2 linked regions of the Canis lupus familiaris genome follow. The protein of the gene in region 1 interacts with the protein of each later gene in a pairwise test. Links are inferred from orthologs where the notes say so. Each region holds a gene or a part of one and is shown on either strand. Other genes may lie near its edges.

Region 1 (2,483 bases):
CACAGCCCCTTTTCCTCCACACTAGTCATTGCCTTTGGGTCACTGCTGAGGTGGCCTAAATATACTCTCCATTCTCCACACCTGGGTCCAGCTGTGGCGCCAGCAAGGGGTTGGGTGTCCTGAGGGCCCCCACAGCCACCGCTGACCTGTCCTCCGTGCCTTTCTCACAGTGCAGGAGGTGAAATGTGACATGGAGGTGAGCTGCCCAGACGGCTACACCTGCTGCCGTCTGCAGTCAGGGGCCTGGGGCTGCTGCCCTTTTGCCCAGGTACCCAGGAGTGGTGGGTGGGCTGGGCTGAGCAGAAAGTGGCAGCCAGCTAGGCCTCGTGCCCATTGTCCCCTGTCCATTCACCCTAGGCCGTATGCTGTGAGGACCATGTACACTGCTGCCCGGCTGGGTTTAAATGTGACACAGCGAAGGGCACCTGTGAACAGAACGCCCCCCAGATGCCCTGGATGGTGCAGGCCCCAGCCCGCCTTCAGCTGCTGAACCCCCAGGCCACAGAGAATGATGTCCCCTGTGATAACGTCACCAGCTGTCCCTCCTCCAATACCTGCTGTCGACTTATGTCCGGGGAGTGGGGCTGCTGTCCTGCCCCAGAGGTGTGTGGGTAGGGGGAGAGCATGGCAGGGGGATGACAGGGTCTTAGCCAAGGCAGGTGGCCAGCCTCCTGTTGCTTTGCTCTTCTCTCCCCTGCCTGGCCCACAGGTGGCACACCAGCTGGGTCAAGTTCATTCCCAGCTGGGGGAGCTGTGAGCAGGAGAGGGAGTCGGGCTAGGCAGGGGCTTAGCTTTTTGTCCCACATGGCAGCTTCCCAGACCATCCTGTTCTACCACTGTCCCCCCTACCCCCCCCCACCCCTGCCAGGCTGTCTGCTGCTCAGACCACCAGCACTGCTGCCCCCATGGCTATACGTGCTTGGACGACGGGCACTGTCAGAGGGGGAGCAAGGTGGTGAGTGGACTGGAGAAGATGCCTGCCCGCCGGGCTTCCCCATCTCACCGCAGGGATATAGGCTGTGACCAGCACACCAGCTGCCCCGTGGGACAGACCTGCTGCCCAAGCCTGAGTGGAGGCTGGGCCTGCTGCCAGTTGCCTCATGTGAGTGCCCCCCCCCCACCACCACCCCACCTGCCCTGCACAGGGGGTCTGAGTCTCCCAGGGAGAGGAGGGGAGAGTTGAAGGCTGCCCTGTCCCTCCCAGGCTGTGTGCTGTGAGGACCGTCAGCACTGCTGCCCAGCCGGGTACACCTGCAACGTGAAGGCCCGATCCTGTGAGAAGGAGGCAGACTCGACCCACCTGGCCGTCCGCCTGGCCCGTGGCCCTCGCGTGGGTGTGGGGAACGTGAAGTGTGGGGAAGGGCACTTCTGCCATGATAACCAGACCTGCTGTCGAGATAGCCGAGGAGGCTGGGCCTGCTGTCCCTATCACCAGGTCAGTGCTCCCTCACCCCTGCCCTGGAGCTGGGTATCCCTGAGAGCCAGGTGCCCCACTCTGACCCCCTGCCCCCACCCATCTGTGGCCGTCCAGGGTGTCTGTTGTGCGGATCAGCGTCACTGCTGCCCCACTGGCTTCCACTGTGGGGCCAAGGGCACCAAATGTCTACGGAGGGAGAGCCTGCGCTGGGACATGCCACTGAGGGACCCAGCCCCAAGACCGCTGCTGTGAGGCGAGCCGAAGGACTATAGAGTCTGCAGCCCTTGGGACCCTGCTCGGAGGGTCCCCACTGCTCAGGCCTCCCCAGCACCTCTCCCCCACCAAATTCTCCCAAGTCCCCCATCCTGAGTCCCACCCCCATCATGGTTGCTGGGGCCTCAACCTAAGGCCTTCCCTATCTCAAGGGAGGCTGTGGCGAAAGCCATGTTACAAGCTGCCATCCCTCCCTGTTTCCGTCTACCCTGTGGCCAGGTGCTCTTCCCTATCCACAGGTGTATGTGTGTATGTGCTGCAGTAAAGTTTGTACACTTTCTTAACAGCGTCTGATTTGACCACCTTGCCTGCCCTACTCTGAGAAGGGCTCCCACCCAGTGTCCGTGTTCCCCAACCCCACAGAAAGACACACACACACAGAGTTAATCTCACCAGTTTTATATTTGCTGTTGCCCACAGCAATCCCATCACACGATCCCCTAGTCCCCAGAGCCGCCCCAGCCACCAGCCCTGTGACATTGTAGCCCAGAGATGGGCTAGTCAGCAAGCAGCACCCCCTCCCCTCCCGGGGGTCCACAGAGAAGGCCCCCTCCCTTCCCGGCCCTCACACTAGCAGCTGAGGCCCGGTCGCCCCTCCTGCTTCCCCACAATAGATCTTTCTATGTACAGCCACGTTTATACAGGCACTGCTTCCCCCCACCCAGCCCTCCTTCCCCAGCACCTCCCCAATGGGGGTCTGGACCCCTCCCACCTCCTCCCTCTTGGAGGCTGACCCGGGTCCCTCCCGAGACCTCACCCAGCACGTACCACTGGACAGCTCCGCAGGCCCCCG
Region 2 (3,943 bases), on another chromosome or scaffold:
TCAAACTTTTCACTCCGCCTGTTGGGATGGAGGGGAGGGGGGACTAGGGAAGCCGGGGAGGAATTCCTCGAAAGGGACCCAAGTGGTGCCTAATACTCAGAAGGAGGTGCCACCTAAGAGGAACCGCCTGGCTCAAGGTTGGGGCGAAACCCTTTTGGGGGGGTGGGGGCGGGGGGCGCCTGGAGACGTCCAGCAGGTACGCGGGCTCCAGAAGTTAGTTCGGCTGGGAAATGGGCTTCGCCAGTACGAACAATCCGGGGAGACGGCCCCGAGGAGGCTCCCTCTGCGGCGCGGGAGGAGGAGACGGAGGCCGGGGGTCTGTGGCCGCGTCTGCCGCCCCCGCCCCCGCCCCCGCCCCCGGTGCAGGGCGCCCGCGAAGGAGGCGGGGTGCGGAAGGGAAAGTTTCCCGTTAAGACCTCCCGGGGCAGGAGGAGAGCGGGCGCCTTAAGGGGGCAGGAGCCGCGGGGCTCCAACGCCCGGGGAGACGCGCCGAGGACGGGCGCGCGGGCCCCGGGGGACGCGCAGCAGCGGGGGAGCGGCGGGGCCTCCCCCGCGGGGGCCGAGCGGGCCAGGCGGGGTCCGCGCCCCCCGCCGCCCCCGGCCCCCGCGCCCGCCGCGTCCGTCCGCAGGTGGCGGCGCGGGGAAGGCGGCCGCTGGGGCCCGGGGCGCCGCCCGGGGGGAGCCGGGGGGGCCCCCACTGCCCTGCAGCCCGCGGCCCCGGACTCCTCGAGCGCACAGCCCCGCCGCCGAGCCGGGTGGCGCGCGGGAGAGCCCGGGAACCGGTTCCCCGGCCCCGCGTCTCCTCTCCGCCACTCCCTCGCGGGCGCCGACAGGGCGAGCGAAGGGCGGGGACCCCCCCCCCCGGGCCGGCCTCGGGCCCCGCGTCCCCCCTCCGCCGACGGGCCCTGGCGCTGCGGCCGCTGTCCTCGCCTCGCTCTGCGCCGCGTTTGTCAGCCCAGCCCTGGAGTTAGCGCGCGCCCGGGGCGGGGCGGGCGGGCGCCGAGGGCGGGGTGCAGGGGGCGGAGGAGGGCGGGGGCGCGCGGAGGTAACCCCCGGCTCGGGCTGCCATTGCCCGGCTCGCTGTCACTCAGCCCGCGCGGGGCCGGGGATTGGCAGCACGGCCCCGTTACGCACTCACCTCGCGTTCACATACCCGGGGAGGGCAGTAGAAAGGTGATCAATCTTCATCAGGCTACATTTCCAATCACCTAAACAACCCGGCAAGACAAGCCACTCCGACAAGGTAAATCGCTTGATTTATTTAGTTCGCAAAGTGCCTCGGCGGGACTCCCCTGGCCCCCGCCGCCTCCGCGCTGCACCCGGACTGCAACTGCAGCCTCGAGCCGCCCCCCAACGCTGCCCCTCTCACCCCCCACCCGCCTACCCCTTGCGGCCCCTCGGCGCGGTCCCGGGCGACGTGGTGTCTCGGGGACGCGTAGGGCTTTGCAAACAAAGTGTCTGTGCAATAAAGTGAAACCTGGAGGGACCCGCACAAAGCCACCGGGAAGAAAGAGAAGGCAGGAGGGAAGTTGGGGAAAGCAAGAACCCCGGGGAGCCGGGACCCGCCGTCCGGCCCGGCGAGTAACCCCCGCGCCCTCTGTCTTTGCAGGTCGGCTGCCCCGCGGGCCTGCGCGAGGGCGCGAGGTAGATGGTGAGCGGCCCCGGCAGCCGAGGGCAGGTAAGCAGACAGCCGCGGGGCCGCCCTGGCTCCGGGAGCGCGCCGCCTGCTCCCACCCCGGCCCCCGAGCCGGTCCCCGCTTCCCAGGTCCCCGGCAGGTGGGCGGGGCTGGGGGGCGGCCTGGCTCCCCTCCCGGCGCGCGGAGGACCCCCGATCCCCGCCGCGGCCCCGCGGCCCCTCCCCCGCCTCCTCCGAAGTCAGCGAGCTCAAGTGCTAAGTTTGAAGAAAGTCTCTGGAAACTCACGCTGCAGCTCGGCAGAGGCGCGGCGGCCCGGCGTGCCCCCCTCTCTCTGGGCCCCGGAGCCCCGGGCTGCCCCTCCTTCGCCCCCCTTTCCCTGCCAGCTGGGGTCCGCCAGCCCAGACCGTGGGGCCTGGAGGAGGGGCGCGGGAGGCCGCCCCGGCTCTCCCCGCCCTCCCCGAACTCCCCAGCCCGGCCCCGGGCCTGCTTTGAATCCCCCGCGACGCGGGGTGCAGCGCAGGGTCCCCCGGGGCCGCGGCCGCGCCCCCCAGCTCCACTCCCTGCCCCTGCGAACGGCGCCGCGGGGGGAGGCGAGCGGGGAGCCGGGCTTCGACCTGGCGGCCCGGGTCAGCCGAGCTGCGCCGCCGAGGCCTAGTCGCGTCGGCCCTGGGCAGGGTCCTGGGCCGCGGGCCGGGCGGGCGGGATAGGCCGGGAGCACGCGGGGGCGCGGCGCCCGGGCCTCCCCGATCCGCGACCCCTCGGGGCGCCGGGCGGGCCGCCCTCCGGCCTCCGCCCGGGCCGCGCTGTCCGCAGCCAGCAGCCAGCAGCCAGCAGCGGGCAGAAAGCAGCGGCGGCGGGCGTTGTCGGGGAGGGGGCCTGCGGCGGGGCCTGGGCGCCCCTGACCCCCCGCCGCGCCCTGGAGCCCCCGCGGCCCCCGCGTCCGCGTCTCCTGGCCGCCGTGGGCCCGGGCCTGTTACTGTGGCCCAGGTGTGCTGGGCTCCCCGGGGAGCGGCCTCTCCGCGGCCGGGCGCAGGGAGGTCAACTGGCAGGGTGGCCGTGGGCTCGGGGGCCCAGACCCAGCGGGGACACCCTTGCAGGAGCGCACCCTAAGTGGGCCCTGCCACCCGGAGAGGCCCAGGTGCCGCTAGCCTCCCGCGGCGCCTCACCTTAGCTCTCCCCGACCCTCCACCTTTTCATCCCGCTTTTCAAAAACATTTTGAAACGAAACGAAACAACCTCTGGTGCCCTGGGCAGCCTGCCTCACTGGCGCCGAGTAAACGTTTGCTCTTGCAGTATGGAGGCCGGCTCCTACCCGACCAGAATTTGGCCTAGACTTGGGACCTTGCACGCCGGGCGTTTTAGGCCCTCACTTTCCAGCTTGGCCCTGCTTTTAGCCTCTCCGCACTCCTAGCGACGCCCTACGAGGGTCTTTTACCCATTCCACGCCTGAGAAGAGGCGATGACGATCCAGAAAAGCTGACTTTTCAAAGAAGCTGTGGTCTTCCGGCCAAGGCCTTGTAGAGCCAAGCTGACCGCCCTTCCGAGTTCCGCAGGCCTGCGTGCCCTCCCCAGCCCCCGGCTGCTCGCCTCCGACGAGACCAGGAAACCGAGATGGCTCCCAGTCACTGTTTACCTGTGTCTCCTGTCTCCATAGGCCGGGCCCCCCGACGCAGCAGAGTTTGAAGGACTGCGCAGTGGGAGCCCCGCACTGCGCCTGGCCCCGGCCCCCTGGATCCGTCCGGGCGCCTCCACCCGGCTGTTAGCATGATGTCTTACCTCAAACAACCCCCATATGGCATGAACGGGCTGGGCCTGGCCGGGCCAGCCATGGACCTCCTGCACCCTTCCGTGGGCTACCCGGGTGAGCACCAGTCCCTGCCCCCAGCCCCTGCAAATCTTGGGGACGCCCAGACTCTTGAGTTTGAGCGCACACTCGGTGTCTGAGCAGGCCCGGGGAGTGGGATGGCGGGTCTGCCTGCAGTGCTCTGCACGCCGCAGGCTCACAGGGCAGTGGCGGGTGCATGAGGCAGGCCAGGCCAGTGAAGCTGGGCAATCTGTCTCTTGTGGTCCCACCACCAGCACAGGGCCCACTTACCCAAGGATTCGTTTCTCATGGGTGGCTTTTTTGGGGTGTGTGTGTGTGTGTGAATCTATTCCTTTCCTCCCAATGTTGAAAGAGAGATTTGGACACTCTCTAGGCCCTGACAGGAAGGGCCAGGCTTTTCTTATGAGAAGTGACTGGCTGAGACGAAGAAGAGGGGCTCTCCCTCCCTAATTGAATTGTCCTCTACATCCGCTGTCTGCAC

What was found.
Region 2: the proteins of GRN (region 1) and OTX1 interact in binary tests that used the Homo sapiens proteins (3 or more experiments, as listed by UniProt). The two-hybrid records come from large-scale screens. The link is inferred for Canis lupus familiaris from reciprocal best matches to the Homo sapiens genes GRN and OTX1.

Annotation. Positions count from the first base shown.
Region 1 is NC_049230.1:18,952,340-18,954,822, reverse strand, and holds the end of GRN (progranulin), read left to right. Parts: intron 1-170; coding exon 171-268; intron 269-357; coding exon 358-603; intron 604-868; coding exon 869-1,102; intron 1,103-1,204; coding exon 1,205-1,435; intron 1,436-1,531; coding exon 1,532-1,669; 3' UTR 1,670-1,974; downstream 1,975-2,483. UniProt on the Homo sapiens protein: Secreted protein that acts as a key regulator of lysosomal function and as a growth factor involved in inflammation, wound healing and cell proliferation. Regulates protein trafficking to lysosomes, and also the activity of lysosomal enzymes.
Region 2 is NC_049231.1:64,119,880-64,123,822, forward strand, and holds the start of OTX1 (homeobox protein OTX1), read left to right. Parts: upstream 1-1,131; 5' UTR 1,132-1,243; intron 1,244-1,609; 5' UTR 1,610-1,678; intron 1,679-2,889; exon of another isoform or gene 2,890-3,291; 5' UTR 3,292-3,401; coding exon 3,402-3,498; intron 3,499-3,943. UniProt on the Homo sapiens protein: Probably plays a role in the development of the brain and the sense organs. Can bind to the BCD target sequence (BTS): 5'-TCTAATCCC-3'.